Oryctolagus cuniculus: one gene and its partners. The protein of the gene in region 2 interacts with the protein of the main gene of each other region in a pairwise test. Links are inferred from orthologs where the notes say so. Each region holds a gene or a part of one and is shown on either strand. Other genes may lie near its edges. The genes, in order: cancer/testis antigen 55, TXLNB and EXOC5.

Region 1 (6,235 bases), on a different chromosome or scaffold from region 2:
CACTTCACATAGTTATCATTCACCTTTCTGCAGGGTTTGAGAACCCTTAAGAACAATCTTCTTTGAAAATTTCAGGGATACAATTTTTTTTTAACTATAGTCACATTGCTGTACAATTATTCACCACACAGAATATTTTTCAAATATTTATTTATTTACTTATGTATTTATTTGAAAAGGGGAGAGAGAGAGAGAGAGAGAGAGAGAGAGATCTTGATTTTCCATCTACTGGTTCACTCCCTAAATGCTTCCAACAGCCACATCTGGATCAGGATAAAGCCAGGAGCCACAAACTGCATCAAGGACTTCCACATTTGTGGCAGGAATCCAAGCACTTGGGGCCATCATTTGTTGCCTCCAAGGGGCATTAACAGGAAACTGAATAAGAATCATGAAGTATCCAGGACTCAAACCGGCACTCTGATATGGGATGTCGGTGTCTCAAGCAATGGCTTAACCTGCTGTGCCACAACACCTGCACACATAACTGAACTTTGCTCTAACATCTCCATATTTCTCTTCCACCATAACAACCATTATTGTACAATCTAGTTCTGTAATTTCAACTATTTTTAAAGATTTATTTTTTATTTGAAAGTCAGAGCTATGGAGAGAGATACAGAGACAGAAACAGAAACAGAAAGACAGAGAGAAACTTCCACCTGCTGGTGGAATACAGTAGCCAGGGCTGGGCCAGGCCAAAGCCAGGAGCTTCTTCCAGGTCTCCCACATGGATGCAGGGGCCCAAGCACTTCAACCATCTTCCTTTGCTTTCTCAGGCACATTACCAGGGAGGTGGATCAGAAGTGGAGCAGACAGGACTTTAACCCATGCCCATATGGAATGCTGGCATTGCAGGTGGCAGCTTAACCCACTATACCACAATGCCAGCTCCTGTAATTTTGGATATTTTCTATTCCTCATATAGGAGTTGTTAGAAGTGAACCAGTGGTGTGTTTTCTCTTTTTAAAAAGATTTTATTTATTGAGAAGCAGAGTTACAGACAGTGAGAAGAAGAGACAGAGAGAAAGGTCTTCCTTCCATTGGTTCACTCCCCAAATAGCCACAATGGCCGGAGCTGTGCCGATCTGAAGCCAGGAGCCAGGAGCCTCTTCCTGGTCTCCCACGCAGGTGCAGGAGCCTAAGGACTTGGGCCATCTACCACTGCTTTCCCAGGACATAGCAGAGAGCTGGATTGGAAGAGGGACAGCCGAGACTAGAACCTCCACCCATATGGGATGCTGGTGCCGCAGGCAGAGGATAATCCTACTGCGCCACGGCGCTGGCCCAAGTAGTGTATTTTCATAAGAATTTAGCCTAAGTACAATCGTGATGCCAGGGTCTAGTCCCCATCTGCAAAGGAAGTTAAGTTAAACAAAACAAAACAAAGCTGATGAGCTCACTTATTGAAGCTGAGTGGAATAGATTCATGTCTTTACACAAAACACAATTCAGACATGAGACAGAGAAGGGTGGTGGGCAGAGTGACAAGGTTTAAAGGATAGGCATTCATAGAACAGATGGACTGCTCTCTAGACAGGATCTGAGAGAGCGCCCCTAGTTTACCTTTACACTGGGGTTTCTAAGGGAATGGGGTCCAGTTCTTCCTGTCACTTCTCCTTCCTTGATCCTTCTTCTGGACAATAGGATGTGCTGAGTGTGAATTATGTAAAATTCCTCCCAAGGTTTTAGTATGAAGTGTTATCAGACTGAGCAGTCCACCTGGTGCCTGGCAGATGTGATCCCTTTGGAGGAAGGCTAGAACCACCTGCAGAGCTACTGGGGTATGGGCAGAACTTTGTAGTGTAAAATACTGTGCTGCTTGTATGGCTGTTACCTTCCTTTTTTTATTTATGGGCCCTCACTTGTGTACACATAGGCTAATTTCTAACTTCCTAACAGTTTAAACTATGTAACCACATTGTTATCTCCCTCTCCCCTATCCTACCTGCCCAGCAACATCCAATACTTCATTGCCTCCTTCACTTGCATTATCATGTTTAGATTGTACCTGCTGATGTTGCTCAAACTTGCAGAAGGGAACTTTGCACTACAGGCATAAAAGGAAATAAATTTCTGAGAGTAACACCTGCTCCCACCATCTGATCACCACTCTTGAGATAAGGTATCAGTAAACGCCTCACTTTCTGCTTCCTTCATGTTTCTGAGTCTATCTTTTTGTGGTTAGGTGTTCTCAGGTGGGCTTATTTCTCACAGATGTAATCATGCAGTATTTGTCTTTCTGTTCCTCACTTATTTCACTTTGCTTAATGACTTCAAGATTCATCCATATTGTAGGAAGTGGCAGGATTTCTTTCTTTTTAAAGGTTGAATAATATTCCATTGTGTGTGTCATATTTTTGTTATCTATTCATCTGTCAGTGGATATTTAGATTATTTCCACATGTTGACCATTATGAAAAATACTACAATGAATGTGGGGGTGCAGATATCTCTTCAGGCTACTGATTTCATTTCCTTTATATATATTTAATATATAATATTTTTAAATATATAATATAGTTTAATATATAAATATATATTTCTGTATCTATATGCAGAAATGATATTGCTGGATCATAAAGTAGTTCTACTTTTTAGAAACCCCCAATCTACTTTCCATAATGGCTAAGTTAATTTATGTTCTCAAAACAATGTACAATGTTCCCTTTTTTCACAAGATACCTAGCACTTGTTATGTCTTCACAGCTTGGTAATAGCTATTCTAAAGGGTATGAAGTGATAGAACACTGTAGTTTTGATGTATATTTCCCTGATGATTAGTTATGTTGAGCAACTTTTCACATACCTATTGGCCATTTGTATGTCTTCTTTTGAGGAATATCTATTCTAGTCCTTTGCTTACTTTTTAACCTGATTGTATGTATTCTTTCTTTATTTTTAATATTAATCTCTCATTAGTTGTGTAACTTAAAATATTTTCTCTCATCCCATAGACTGCCTTTTCATTCTATGTATTGTTTTCTTTGCTGTGCAGAAGCTTTATAGTTTGATGCAGTCCCACTTACCCAGTTTAACTTTTATAGCCTATGCTTTTGGAGTCATATCAAAAAATCATTGCCCACACCCTCCCCCCAAAAGAAAAAAATCCCAGGACTTTCCTATTTTATTTTCTTTCAGTATTTGTACAGTTTCAGATTTTACATTTGTCTTTAATCTTTTTTCAGTTGACTTTTGTATATAGTGTTAGGTAAGAATTCAATGTCATTCTTCTGCATGTGAATATTCAATTTTCTTAACACCATTTATTGAAGGAACCACCCTTTCCCCATTGTGTATTCTTGGTACCATTGTTGAAGAACAGTTGACTTGAAATGTGTGGATTTATTTCTGAACTCTGTTCTGTTCCTTTGGTCTATATGCCTAGATTTGTTTTTAAAGATCTATTCATTTCTTTGACAGAGTTACAGAAAGAGAAGGAGAGGGAAAGAACAGGCAGAGGAAGAGGGAGAGGGGGAGAGAGAGAGAGAGAGAGAGAGAGAGAGAGAGATGTTCCATCTACTGGTTCACTCCCCAAATTGCTGCAATAGCCAGGGCTGGGTCAGTTGGAAGACAGGAACCAGGAGCTTCATCCAGGTCTTCCACATGGGTGCAAGGGCCCAAGCCTTTAGGCTATCCTCCATTGCTTTCCCCTGCACATTAGCAGGGAGCTAGATCCTAAGTGAGACTATGTAGGGTTGGGTACACATCGGGGAGGAGTTCATGTGTGTGACAGCCAATGTCCCCACAAGACCAGGGTGTCCATGTCCAAGGAGAAGTTCCCAGAGTCAGAGCTGAGCACTCCATCCAAGGCCAGTGCCATGGAGTATGCTTCTGGGTGGGGGAGGGGGATAGTGAATGCAGGGCCATGAGGCAGTCAAGAAGTCTTTGCTGTTCTGCACCAAGCAGGCAGGTGGGGAGCATAACCACATGGGCTCTGGATGACCCCATCATGCATTAGATACCTCTGTTGAGCCACCCCAAAGGGGACAGAACTGAGAGAATGAGTGCATGCACACTGACAAGATGAAGCTTCTTCTGTGTGCTTGAATCTCCCAGGGACAGGGCACGGGTTGTAAGACATTTAATGAAAGGCTGGAAGGAACTTGCATCTGTGGAAGAGGTCCAATTCTGAAACAAAAATGTATGTCAGCAAGTGTTTTTTTTTTTTTTTAAATATTGACTCAAAGCCAAGACCTACTAAAAGGTACATTCAGTAGAGTTTTGTGTCTATTCAAACTAGCCAGCTAAAGTAGTATGTCTGTTAGCGGTGCTTAGAGCAACGCCAATACACAGGTTAACACTTGCCCCTGTTGCCCAAATTAAGATCCAGTCACACATGAGGAATAAAGTCTGGCGTTATGGCACTATGGGTTAACTCTGTGCCTGCAATGCTGGCATCCTGTATCAGAAGCCAGTTAGAGTCCCAGCTGCTCTACTTCTGCTCCAGCTCTCTGCTAATTAATGTGACTGGGAATGTGGTGGAAGATGGCCCAAGTAGTTGGGTCCCTACCACCCACATGGGAAACCCAGATGCTGCTCCTGGCTCCTGGCTTTGGCCTGGCCCTGCTCTGGCTGTTGTCTTTTCCAAGAAGTCTTTGCCTGCGCCTATATATTACAGGGTTTCTCCGATGTTATCTAATAACTTGATGGTGTTAGGTCGTAGATTTAGATCTTTAATCAGTGTTGGGTGGATTTTTGTGTAAGGTGTAAGGTAGGGGTCTTGCTTCATGCTTCTGCATGTGGAAATCCAGTTTTCCCAGCACCATTGGTTGAATAGACTGTCCTTGCTCCAGGGATTGGTTTTAGCTCCTTGGTCAAATATAAGTTGGTTGTAGATGTTTGGATTGATTTCTGGTGTTTCTATTCTATTCCATTTGTCTAGCCCTCTGTTTTTGTACCAGTCCCAGGCTGTGTTGATTATAACTGCCCTGTAGTATGTGTTGAAATCTGGTATTGTGATGCCTCCAGCTTTGTTTTTGCTATATAAGATTGCTTTAGCTATTCGAGGTCTCCTGTGTGACTGTCTCTTCTTGAGAAAGGCCCTAATCACACCCTCCCAAAGACCTCCAGATGTAGTTAACAAGCGTAACCCACAGATGTCGCTGTTTCCATTAGTGTAGGCCAGACTTCAGCTGGAAGTTCACCAAAGGCTTTGACATTTGCCTTCTGTTAACAAATAAATCAGGAGGATGAGAAATATAACTGTTCAGAAGTTATATGAGGAGCAAGATCTTAATCAATTATGTGCTACACCACTGCAGTGATTCAGTGTTAAGTTGGAATCCCAGCTTTTCAGGTTATGAACTGTGTGACTTTGCTCAGGTCTCTTATACTCTCTGGGCTTTACTTTTTACATTTTCTTTTTTAAAAAAAGATTTATTTTATTTACTGGAAAGATGGAGTTACAAAGAGAGGTAGAGCCAGAGAGAGACAGAGAGAGAGAGAGGTCTTCTATCTGCTGGTTCACTCCCCAGATGACCACAATGGCCAGAGCTGAGCTGATATGAAGCCAGGAGCCAGGAGCTTCTTCCAGGTCTCCCACGTGGGTTCAGGAACCCAAGGACGTGGGCCATCCTTCACTGCTTTTCCAGGCCACAGCAGAGAGCTGGATCAGAAGTGGAGCAGCCGAGACACGAAGTGGCGCCCATATGGGATGCTGGCAGTGCCGGCTGGGGTTTTTAATCCGCTGTGCCACAGTGCCGGCTCCACTTTTTACATTTTCAAAATGATGGTTAATTCATTAAATAAATAGAGTTCTTTGAGAAGGCAATGAAAAAACCACGTGAAAAAATAGGCATTTAACACAGTGCCTGACCCGAGGAAGCAGCCAGGAAATGATTATTTCTTAGCTGTTAGTTTCATTCACAGCTATTCCTACTGAGTCCCAGGAACATCTGAGAGGCAGCACCATGGCAGGGCTGCAGAGCACTTGTTTGAGTAGTAAATAGAGCAGTTCTACTACTTAAGAAGGGGTTGTGGGAACATTGTGTACCCTCTCTGATTTTCAGACTCATGGCTGATGAATTATAAAGTTTGGTACCCAACCTGCTGGTGGCTGCGGAGAAGGATGTGGCCAAGGTGTGAAAGTACAACATACAAGGGATTCTATTCATCAGCATTTTGTCTGGTTTTTGAAAGTACAGCCTTGTTCTGATGTTGATGATTGCGCTTGCTTAAATCATCAGTGAGTCTTCCTGGAAGCCCATAGCTCCCTCTGCTGGTCTGAGCTCTG
Region 2 (6,235 bases):
GGACAGAGGGAAGATGGGTAATATGTTAAAAAGTTCACTTAAACTCTATTGTGGGAAAGGGGCTGGGAACAAGAGAGCCTGTGGGAAGATCTGAAGGAGATGCAAATATTAGATGTGGGTTTTAGTGGAGTTTGGAGAAAGTGCCCCTCTTAGGAATAATTCAAAGAAAAGTCATGTTAGAACATAACTACTTGCCTAATCCTTTTAGGATTTTCTTTTCCAATTTTTGCTCTTTATTGCTGATTGGCTCTTTAACTGTGGCTGGGTCTCCAGAAGCAGCAGGTTCTCTGTCAGCCTCTCCAGCGTTCTCCTCACAGTCTCCATCCTCATGGTCGGCTGCTTCTGCATTTGCAGGCTGCTCCTTGGCCTTGGGAGCTCCCTCTTTGCCCACTGTACTGGCAGCAGACCCGTATGTGTTGATGATGTCTTCCAGTTGACGGTTTAACTCTTCAGAGATGTCGTGAGTCCCCTTTTCAGGGTGCACACTTGCCTCTTGCTGTGGTGCTTGGAGTAGGGTTGGGGAATTCTGACCATCTTGCTTCTCAAGGCCATTCTGCCTAGGTGATGAAGAACTGTCCTCTGGAGGTGTGGACTGTTCTGCTGAGAGCTGTTCAGCGTGATTAATCTCCATACTGTGTGTAGTATCAAGTGGTAAGCATAGTTAGGTTTTGTGTAGTTCACTAAGTTATGTGAGCAAATTGAGCATCAACTAATTATGGTTTCTAACATAGAGTGAATGTACTTTTACAAATCATTGCTGTTACAATTAGTTAGGTAGAAACAGTGGGAAGCCATTTTTCCAGATGGAGTCATACTACTAGCATATTTATGGTTTTAGTTTTCAGTATACCTTATTATTAACATTACCAAAGTATTGTTTTTCGTGACATATTTGTCATTTGCTTAGAAGATCCAATGTTACCATTTTCTTTTATGAATATGTGTAGATTCACAATCATTGGAAGTACACAGGTATATACATTTCATATGTTTAATTTTAAGTGGTATTAGTTTTCATTCAAAGTTAAATTACTTAATACAATAGCCAATTAACTTTAAATGATTCATAACAATAATGCCCCTAACTTTATATTGACCTGTAAGTAAAGAGTTGATTAGTACAGATGGTTGGATGTAAATGAATTATTCTAGTGATTCAGGAGATATTCTTGCCTTTCTAGTATTTTCTTTTTCCCAGATGAGCAACATGTTATTAATTGTCAATCAGCAAAAATATTTTTCCTGAAATTCATTCTAGCATCATTTTTGTAATAAGACGTGGAATAAGGGAAGGTGTAAATAAACCAACCAATATGGAAACATGGTAATGCTTATAATAATAGCAATTTCTTAAATTTCTACAATAACTTTTTATTCCTCTATAAAAATCGGCTTTCTTTTAGAAGAAAGCAGATTATCACTTTCTATTCCAAGGCAAGTAACTCTAGGGAAACTTAATAATTTTTTTTTTTTTTTTTTTTTTTTTTTTTTACAGGCAGCGTGGACAGTGAGAGAGAGAGAGAGACAGAGAGAAAGGTCTTCCTTTGCCTTTGGTTCACCCTCCAGTGGCCGCTGCGACTGGCGCTGCGGCCGGCGCACCGCGCTGATCCGATGGCAGGAGCCAGGTACTTCTCCTGGTCTCCCATGGGGTGCAGGGCCCAAGCACTTGGGCCATCCTCCACTGCACTCCCTGGCCACAGCAGAGAGCTGGCCTGGAAGAGGGGCAACCGGGACAGAATCCGGCTCCCCGACCGGGACTAGAACCTGGTGTGCCGGCGCCGCTAGGCGTAGGATTACCCTAGTGAGCCATGGCGTCGGCCAATCATTTTTATTATATATCAAGTAAAAAAGCAGGGAAGGAATGAACTAGGAAAATAATGTAAGTATAACACAAGTTCTTAAGAAATGAGGAGTGAGGAACAAAGTTGTGTGGAAGATTACTGTAGGGTGTCTGGCTACTACCATTTCTAGATTTGCAATCAGTTTGTGTTAGTTCATTAAGTGATGGAACATTTTATCTGTAAATAATATTTAATGCTGATGATGCTACTTATGACCATAAAATATGGCACGATCCTCATCATTCATAGGTTTTGCTGCTATGGTCATGTGAAAGTGAGAACAAAAACATACTCTTGTATCAACGGCACAGCCCCCTTCCCTCATTCTCAGGGCAGTGGGTGTCAGATGTTTGGACACCAGCGAGAAAGGAAAAGCCAGAGCTTAGACATTGCCACCTACTTGTTGCTCTCACCAAGTACTCATTAAGTTAGAAGGAAGTTCTTTTTTTCTTTCACCAATTTTAATTCACCAATTTGATGATCAGATAATGTATGTAGTAGACAGCTTCTTTGTTTTCCTCATTGGAATCTCTTGATCTTGATCTCCACTTGTTAGGCACACTCATCTATATATAACTTATGCTTCCTCTAAACTCAAAGACACATGGCACCTGCTGTCCAGTCAGAAGTTATTTTAAGCTATTCTAAAATGAGTCATGGCATTTAGCACGTCATCCTTGGGCATTCAAGAGAATAATTTTTAAATCAAATTAAAACAGTATGTATTTAGTGACTTAAGACCATATGTGAGTTTTAAAATGTTGGGAACCCATATTAGAATCAAATCAAATCAAATCAAAATGAAAGCGAATTTCAATCAAGAATTTAAAACCGACTGTGTATGGAGTTTTACTGTGGTTAGTCTACATGCACATGTTTTGTTTGTATTTGATTTATTCTTCATTCTTCAGATGTCATTATCATTGATGTCTTTAATTCCACAAATATTCTTTAAACTCCTTTTCCACATTTACTTTAAGGCAGAATAACTGAGTCATTAACCACAGGACAACTCAATTTCTAAAAGTAGACTCAAGACAAATCAACAAGAGGAAAAAACATTGTTAGTTTTAAAGGACCCTTTTATATAAATTATTTTTATGTCAAAGAATTTAATTTTCACTTTCATCTATGTGAACTGTGTTGCCCTTTCCTCCCCTCCTCTGAGAGCATATTTCACTTGTGCTGGCAGTCCCAGCACTCACACATCCCTTCCTGAGCCACACATTTTAATTATAAATGCAACAATGGAAAGTTCTTCAACAGTTCACTGGCAGTCTCAAAGTTGCAAGTTTCGAGCACCACAAACCACTCCCTACATCTCACAGGGCTTGGGGGAGTGTTTGTCATACTTACCAGAAGGCAGGGAGCTTAAGCAGGAAGAGAAAGAGAGGAAAGCAGCAGCAAAGAGCAAGTCAGAGCGGCAGCAACAGCAGGAGAAGGCGGGCGGACTGTGTTCTTACAGGGGAGAGAGAAACCAAATACACACTCGTGCGCGCGCACACACACACACACAGGCACTGGTGGAGGCAGCAGGAGGGAGGAGGTGGGGGTGGGGAGAGGAACATCTTATGACACAGCAAGAGAGAAATCCACCCAAGCTTCAGTGGCTGTGGCCCTGGCAAATATCTGAGAAAACAGCAGTAGCTGGCAGATCTTATCAGACTCTCCACGTTTTGTTCTTCTAAAAATTTAAACTCTTAGTAGATAGCCCCTTGGCAAATACGATTTTTCACTGTTGTTCTTTTGGGCAGAGATCCGTTTTCCTTGGTTTATCTCCAGAGTGGGTTGTGGTTCATCATCTTTATTTTCCTACTTGGGGCTAGCCTAATTAGTGTCAGGTTTCATGCTGGAGGAATCCTGCAAAGCAGAAAACAAGGGCATACCGAAAAGGTGGTAGAGCCACGTTAATTCTGACGCTACAGTTGCGCTGTTTGCAAATGTGCAATAGCAGTGAAGTGAGCGTTTTGGAGCTGGGAGTAATCTTCATGTGCATGGTGACTGGCATGTCCTCAGAGAGTCCTTCCCAGGAGACTACCACATCTCGGGCCCTTAGGAAAGCAGTCTGCTTTATCTTCTTAGTGGGGTTTTCTCACCTCGCAGAGCAGCGTGTCCACCCCTTTCAAAGCCCCTGTGTGCTCCTCAATCTTCCTCAGAAAAAGAACCTCATTCCCACACACTGTAAAATGCTGTCTTACATTTACTGCCCTTTTCTTTCAGTTCCCAGGGAATGTGTTCCTACTTTTCCAAAGCAGATCCTTCTATGAGACTTTCTGCTTTGGGGACAGGATGGACCAAGTGGCACTCCTTGTGGTAGACCAAATAATGCCATCCAAAAGATGTCCATATCCTAATCCCTGTTCTGTGCACGTAACTTGACAAGGCAAAAACAATTTTGCCTTAGATTAAGGTCTTGGCGTGGGGAGATGGTTCTGGATTATGAACCACAGGGTTCTCATAATTGTAAGAGGAAGGTGAGAGGATCAGACTTAGAAAAGAAGATTGATGACCAGTAAAGATCAGCGTGATGTGTGGCAGTGAACCAAGGAATGCGGGAGGTTCTAGACACTGGAAAAGGCAGGGAAATGGATTCTCCTCTGCAGCCTCCAGAAAAATGCAGTACTGCTGGCATGTGGATTTTAGCCCCATTTAGCTCCTTTTGGGTTTCTTACAGAAGCATAAGATAGTAAGTTTTTTTTTTAAGCTGCTAAATTTATAGTAAATTGTTATGGCAGCAATAGGAAACCCAAAACATTGCACCCTCTCAAGCGTTTTCCTACTCCTTTCTCTGAGGTCAGGGGAGGCATAAATTATATATAGGTGAGCATAACTAATAAATAGAGGTCAGGGAAAAGAAATCTGGGTGATTTCAACAATGAAGCCGTTTACTGCATCATGGTAATAAAGTTAGTGAACTAAAATCGATGAAAGAAAAAGGTATTTCCTTCTAACGTTAATGAGCACTTAGTGAATGCTACAACCTGATTGTAGAAAATTGACCTAATGAGATTTGTCAGTAAATGAGTCAGTGCTTCTCAAATTTATGCACATTTTTTTAACAGAATAGTTTAAATAATGTTGAATTTAATTTAAAGGGAAAAATTCATTCTATGATTGAACTAAATTATTATTTGGACTAATATATACTAATATGAAAATAGATGTTTCTTATCCTTACAGTAATTATATAGTATAAAACCAATAAATGCAATTAAATTACCAATATTACTTTTTTTCTGGCAATAATGTTGTGCAGAGTCCAAGGTGCAACTTGCAACATGAATATTGGTGCTGACTGTTGGTCCTTTTGAGTTCATGGTGTTTTTCTATAAGAAGTGACTCAAGGTGCTGGTCTTGAGGCACAGTTGGTTAAAATACTGCCTGTGGTGCCATATTGAGCCCAGATCCCTGATAATGTGCCTGGGAAAGCAGCAGAAGATGGCCCAAGTACTGGGGCCCCTGCCATGTGGAAGACCTGAATGAAGTCCCAGGCTCCTGGCTCTAGCCTGGCCAAGCCACAACTGTTATAGCCATTTGAGGAGTGAACCAGCATATAGAAGATTTTTCTTTCTCTGTCTTTCCCTCTCTTTTTGATACTCTGTCTTTCAAATAAAATAAAATAAAGCTTTAAAAAGTGATACAGTTTCTTCAAGACTTGGCCCATTCAGATTATTACAGATGTTTCACTTGTGTCACCTGCTATGATTTAATTTGATACTGACACATCCTTTATTGCTTGCTATGAGCTGGATGTTTGTATGCCCCCGAGTTCATACACTGACATCCGAACTCCCCAGTGATGACAGAAGCGAGTGCGGGTCTTTGAGAGATCATGATTAGGCTATGAGAGTAGCGCCCTCATGAATGGGATTATGGCCCTTATAAGAGCTCTTGGGGAAGAAGGAGGTACCTTTCTCTGAAGGGAGGAGGGAACTTCCACTTTGACTAAGACCCTGTCTGAATAAGATCAAAGTCAGCGAACTCAAAAGGCTTCCATAGCCTTGGCAACTCAAGACTAGAGCCTAGGGAGATTACTGACGCCATAAACAAGAGTGTCAAATCGTTAAGTCAACAACAGGAGTCACTGTGTACTTATTCCTCATGTGGGATCTGTCCTTAATGTGTTGTCCAATGTGAAGTAATGCTATAACTAGTACTGAAACAGTATTTTTATACTCTGTGTTTCTGTGTGGGTGCAAACTGATGAAATCTTTACTTAATATATGCTGAATCGATCTTCTGTATATAAAGATAATTGAAAATGAATCTTGATGTGAATGGAATGGGAGAGGGAGCGGGAGATGGGAGGGGTGCGAGTTGGAGGGAAGTTATGGGGCGGGAGCCATTGTAATCCATAAACTGTACTTTGGAAATTTATATTTACTAAATAAAAG
Region 3 (6,135 bases), on a different chromosome or scaffold from region 2:
TCATGTGTCTGTTTGGCCATCTACATTTTATCCTTTGAAAAATGCCTGTTTATATCTTTAGGTCAATTCTTAACTGGATTGCTTGTTTTGTTGTTGACTTTCTTGAGCTCCTTATATACCCTGGATATTAATCCTTTATCAGATGTGAAACAGCAGATGGACGCTTGCTCACTCGCTCTCACTCTCTCCCTAGCTCTGCCTTTCAAATAACTAAATAACTAAATAACTATTTTTAAGAGACACTGATTTGGGTTTGCACGGGTGTGGACTCTGCATTCACAGAAATCATTCCGCCTTCTTCTAGAAACAACTGGGTGCCAAGTGGTTAGGGTCCAGGTAACTGAAAGCCAATTCTTACACATCACTTTCTTCCAGTATGTGAATAATCATTGGTTTTCAAGTATTAATTTAACTTTTATGCCCAAGTCATTGAAAAAAATTCATCAATTTGAGTACCTAAATTGTGAACTATCTGCTATATTTTCAAACTCACAAAAGTAACAAACAAAAAAATGATAAACTTCCACAAAAATAACCTGAAATAATTTACTCTGGCAGAAAAAAAAAAAACTACAGAACTCTTTATATTACTGCTATTCTGCTTTACATTTTTAAAAGTTAATTTTTTAAAAAACTAACAAACATCTGCTAAACATTATAATCATGTTATATTAATTTATTTCAATATGTGGTCAAGAGTTGAAATGTCAACATGATATGAACAACTGGGTTAAAAGTTCTATACTAAAAATTCTGGGGCTGGCACTGGGGCGCAGCAGGTTAACGCCCTGGCCTGAAGCGCTGGCATCCCATATGGGCGGCAGTTCTAGTCCCGACTGCTCCACTTCCAATCCTGCTCTCTGCTATGGCCTGGGATAGCAGCAGAAGATGGCCCAAGTCCTTGGGCTCTTGCACCTGCGTGGGAGACCCGGAGGAAGCTCCTGGCTCCTAGCTTCGGATCGGTGTAGCTCCAGTCGTTGCAGCCAACTGGGGAGTGTACCAGCGGATGGAAGACCTCTCTCTCTCTCTCTCTGCCTCTCCTTCTCTCTCTGTGTAATTCTGACTTTCAAATAAATAAATAAATCTTAAAAAAAGGAAAAAGAAAATTCTAATGACAGTCAATATTTTCTATGCTTGCCCAAATTGAAAAAAAAAAGTTCTTAATCTCTTCAGTTTTAACTATAATATTTAACAAGAACACTCACCCTCCTGTGCCAATGGATCTCTTTTGATGATTTTTTGAATCATAATAACGCTGTAGGATCATAGCACTTCTGCTTTTCAGATATCCAGTCTCCACTTCAATATAGTTCTCCAAATAGGAAATGAAAATGGATTTGATAAGCTTGGACAAGAAAGTCTGTTTATCAGTACCCAAATTAAACTCCATCAACTTGCTGGAAAGATTGGTGGTTCTTTTGATGGAAAAGGGGGAGAAAAAGATTAATGTATATTTATTTAGGTATAGCAACAGTACTGAGGAATATACGTTTACAATTTGACTTTAATGAATTACATTAAACTACCATTTCTTAATCCTTAAGATGAGTACTTAAGATGCAAAGAGTGGCTCTACAGGATTTTATATAAATTAGAATGGAATATTAAAAATCACATTATGACTGACAACTATCCCAAGCACCTCTGGATGTTCTAGGAGAAGAAACTGTGAGGTAAAGAAGCAGTCTAGACATGACAACAGTGGCAAAAGACTCCATTGCCTCAAGTATGCTCGAGTGCCATTCGCCACAGAGCACCCGAAACAGAGCCTTGGGAGATCTGCTCTCGGTTCAGCCCCTTTCCTCTTTGTCCTCGTGAACTTTCCTCTAATTTTCTATCTCCTATTGTTGAAGATAGGTACACAATAATCTTGTGTTTGACTGGGACTTCTTCATTAGGGTAACTTTTGTAGAACCTTCTCTCAAAATGAAGACACTGAAGAAAAGCAATAGAATTGGAAAAGGTCAAGAACAAAAGTTCCAATGAAGCTTCTGAGACAGCATCTGTATAGTAACAATACTAAGAAATATGTATTTTTACAATATGCTTTTAATTAAGCAACAACTTCTTAGACTTTGGGAGAATACGACTTAGGATGCAGAGAGCAGCTCAACAGGGATATATATAAAGTACAATAGACTATACAGATATTTGAAAAAAAGTACAATAGATTACAAATATTTAAAAGTACAAGACAAATTCTCACATCACTTAAAGCTGAAATTGTTATTTGTTACAAATATCACTCCCTTTTGAATTTTCTGCAAGTTTTAACTTCAGATAAATGTAACTACACTAATTTATAGGTGAAAATGATACAGAATAGTGAAACAGCCACAATTAAATTCAGAAAAAAAAAGTTGAGTCTTAAGTTTAAATAAGGTCTTATGTTTCATCATTAAAGAACATTAACATAAAGCATAGCATCCAATTCCTAAGGTTAATGCACTAAGAACACTGCTCTTGCATATTACTACTCTATATGGCCATGCATTTAATGCTAAAAGGCATACTGCTATCTGACAAAATGTTATTCAGACGTACCTGAATATTTCCCCATTTTCTATTTAAAAAATCTGAGATGGATTATTATTTTCTAACAATTAAAAATATACCTTGTATATAGATCATAGAGGTTTTTGAGATACTGCTCTGCATCAGATTTCCTACATTCTTCTAACTGGTCTTTCACAAAACCCTAAAGAAAAAAAAAAGTCAACATTCTATTAATTAAGTAAATATTAAATTCTTTAACTTCCCAAGATTTTTCTTTTAAAGATTTATTTATTTTATTATTTCAAAGAGTTACACAGAGAAAGAAGGAGAGGCAGAGAGAGAGAGAGAGAGAGAGAGAGAGAGAGAGAGGTCTTCCATCGATGGTTCGCTCCCCAATTGGCTGCAACGGGTAGAGCTGTGCCGACCTGAAACCAGGAGCCAGGAGCTTCCTTGGGGTCTCTCACGTGGGTGCAGGGGCCCAAGCACTTGGGCCATATTCCACTGCTTTCCCAGGCCATAGCAGGGAGCTGGATTGGAAGTGGAGCAGCCGAGTCTGAAATTGTCGCCCATATGGAATGCCAGCACTGCAGGAGGCAGCTTTTACCCGCTACACCACAGCACCGGCCCCAAGATTTTTTTTTTTGTCTCTAAAATTCTTCCATAGTTTGAATTACACTGACTTAAAATCCAATCAGGAAAGCAACACCAAGGGCTGGCATTGTGACTCAGCTTGCAAGGCCAGCATCCCAAACTGGAGCTACAGTTCGAGTGCCAGCTGTTAGGCTTCTGATCCAGCTTCCTGCTAACAAGCCTGGGAAGGAGGTGGAGGATGGCCCAAGTGCTTGTGTCCCTGCCATCCCTGTAGGAGACCCAGATGGAGTTTCTGGCTCCTGGCTATTATCACCATTTGGAAAGTGAACATCCAGATGGAAAATCTCTGTTTTCTTCTTTCCTTGCTCCATCCCTCCTTTTCTCTCCCTCTCTGTGTTCTTCTTTCCTCCTTCCTTTCCTCCCTCTTCCTCTCTACCTCCCTCTGTCACTCTGCCAAACAAATAAATACATAAATCTTCAAAGGCAATTCAGAGAAACAGACCAATCATAAAAATTAAAAAGGGGAAAAGGAGCTGGAACTGTGGCACAGCAAATTAAGCCCCATCTGCAGTGCCAGCATCCCCTATGGGTACCGGTTCCATTCCCAGCTACTCCATTTCCAATCCAGCTCCCTGATAATGTGCCTGGGAGAACAGAGGAGGATGGCCCAAGTTCTTGGGCTCCTGCACCAACAGGGGAGACCCAGAGGAAACTCCTTGCTCCTAGCATCATCCTGGCCCAGCTGCGGCCATTTGCAGCCAACTGGGGAGTGAATCATCAGATGGAAGATCTCTGACTTTCAAATAAATAAATAAGCCTTTAAAAAAACCAAAATTTTATTTTCTGTTTCTCCTATTTGCTTGCAGAAAATCCCGTTCAGTCTTCGGAGTAAGTATTATGAGTTTAGAAATACCCTTTCTTTTGAAACTGGCTTATTCTGCCTCATGAGGTATTTAAAACAGACAAACAAATTCAATCAAACAACTGAAACCACACCACCAGCATCAATGTCTTACAGCACATTTCCCAAACTGTGGTCCAGGCAGTGCCAGTGTCCCTTTAGATATTACCAGGCATGACTATAAAATAAGGTTTCTTGGTCAATGTGAGAAATGCTGTACACTAAAATCCCATTTCTAAAGAATCACAACTTGTAAGGCTACTGAAAGTCCTAAACTGCATTAACAACAACAACAACAAAAAATATACTGAATGTTGCTTAATCCAGCAGTAAACATAGTTTAGGAAGTGTTTCCTGAAAGTATAGTGCTACAGCATTCAAGGTTGTAAATTAAATTCCTGTGCTTTTCCTTTTTAAGCTGATATCATTACTAAAAATTCTACAGACTAAACTTATAATTCTTGTTTAATTCTATAAAAGTCATCTATCAGGCAAAATGAAGACGAACAAAAATTGAGGCTATCTTACTACAGTATCTCTCTACTACTAGAGCTATACAAACTTCACGCACGTACCCTGATGGCGGTGACTGACACTTTTTCCTTGATGAATATCAAAACATTATTTAAAAAGCATGATACTAGCATTCCCTTGCCCTTAACTGATTACTATTTCTAAGGTCCCTAAAGAAAGGGTCTTCAAAAAGTCCAGACACTGCCATGGAACCTTCACCGGGATATCACACCCCCCTGATGGCTCCTCAGCTGAGCAGCACGTACTGGGGTTGGGCGGTGAGGGAGGGTGGTGGCAGCTTCCTGGCCCTGCTTGTGCTGGGTGGGCGTCTCCCAGAGTTTATGGAGTAATACCAAGGTCTGGCCTGGTTTGGGTTGGGCAGGGGAGCCTATTGTCCCGCCATGCTGTGAGGGTCTTAATAACCCAAAAGATACTTTCCCAAGTCCTGGGAGGGTGGCTCAGTGACACTGCTTTGGACATTACAGTCTCCAGTTGTCAGCAATCCTAGCCCCAAGCCAACACAGGTGCTTCTGGATTGGGGTGTGATGCTGGGTTGGTGGAACGAGGTGGGAATTGAACCCAGCCACTCGATGGGGTGGAACTCTCTCAGTGGAATGAGCTGATCTTTAAATGCAGCTGATTTGTAGCCAGGGTGGGCACAGAAACCACAAGCTGAGGGTGGAAGCCACTGGGACGCCTCTTGAGTACCCTGTGTAAGTTCCTGGTTACTTCTCCATTCTTGCCTCCTGGTAATGCTGCCCGTCTCCACTCCCTCCCCATGCCAGAGGTGAGAGCCTCTACCACCCACCTGGGATCAGACACTGCCCTCCCACCTCCTGGCTTCGGCCCTCCCTCTGGCCATTTTAGGCCTTTGGGGGCAGCACCAGAAGATTGGGGGGGGGGGGGAGGGTCTCACTCGAAATAAAAGTTTTAAAAGAAAAAAGAAAAAAAAATTCAGAGTACGTGAATTATGAAAAACCTATGCTTAGGGGCCGATGCTGTGGCGCAGCAGGTTAACGCCCTGGCCTGAAACACCGGCATCTCATATGGGCACCAGTTGGAGAATCGGCTGCTCCACTTCCAATCCAGCTCTCTGCTATGGCCTGGGAAAGCAGTAGAAGATGGCCCACGACCTTGGGCCCCTGCACCCACACGGGAGACTGGGAAGAGACTCCTGGCTTCGGATCAGTGCAGCTCCAGCTATTGCAGCCAACTGGGGAGTGAACCATCGGATGGAAGACCTCTCTCTCTCTCTCTCTCTCTGTAACTCTTTCAAATAAAAATAAATAAATCTTTTTAAAAAAAAAGGAAAATAAAAACCTATGCACAGATTTCAAAATTCTTTTATATCAAAATAAACCTATCTTTTAATTCCATTTTTCCACAAGTACTTTAAGTAAACTAAATTAACAATGTTCTAATATTAAAAAAATATACATTGACAAGAAGTGCTTAATTCATTATTTAAAATTACCTGTAATTTGATTTCAAATACGTTTTGAATAAGTTTAGCAAGTACTGTTTCTGGATTACTAAAGATATCTCCAACTTGTTTGTTCACACGTTGACAGAGTATTGCTGCATCTTCAAATATATCATTTCTCATGTAAGCACCCTACACAACAAAGGCATTT

Evidence for each region.
Region 1: the proteins of TXLNB (region 2) and cancer/testis antigen 55 interact in binary tests that used the Homo sapiens proteins (3 or more experiments, as listed by UniProt). The two-hybrid records come from large-scale screens. The link is inferred for Oryctolagus cuniculus from reciprocal best matches to the Homo sapiens genes TXLNB and CT55.
Region 3: the proteins of TXLNB (region 2) and EXOC5 interact in binary tests that used the Homo sapiens proteins (3 or more experiments, as listed by UniProt). The two-hybrid records come from large-scale screens. The link is inferred for Oryctolagus cuniculus from reciprocal best matches to the Homo sapiens genes TXLNB and EXOC5.

The regions. Positions count from the first base shown.
Region 1 is NC_091453.1:113,582,464-113,588,698, forward strand, and holds the start of cancer/testis antigen 55, read right to left. Parts: upstream 3,824-6,235; coding exon 3,755-3,823; intron 2,051-3,754; coding exon 1,949-2,050; intron 1-1,948. UniProt on the Homo sapiens protein: Plays a role in spermatogenesis, possibly acting in the regulation of the autophagy pathway.
Region 2 is NC_091436.1:29,548,765-29,554,999, reverse strand, and holds the start of TXLNB (beta-taxilin), read right to left. Parts: upstream 3,394-6,235; 5' UTR 3,198-3,393; intron 633-3,197; 5' UTR 632-632; coding exon 196-631; exon of another isoform or gene 192-195; intron 1-191. UniProt on the Homo sapiens protein: Promotes motor nerve regeneration. May be involved in intracellular vesicle traffic.
Region 3 is NC_091443.1:19,537,069-19,543,203, reverse strand, and holds part of EXOC5 (exocyst complex component 5), read right to left. Parts: intron 6,117-6,135; coding exon 5,976-6,116; intron 2,699-5,975; coding exon 2,616-2,698; intron 1,416-2,615; coding exon 1,206-1,415; intron 1-1,205. UniProt on the Homo sapiens protein: Component of the exocyst complex involved in the docking of exocytic vesicles with fusion sites on the plasma membrane.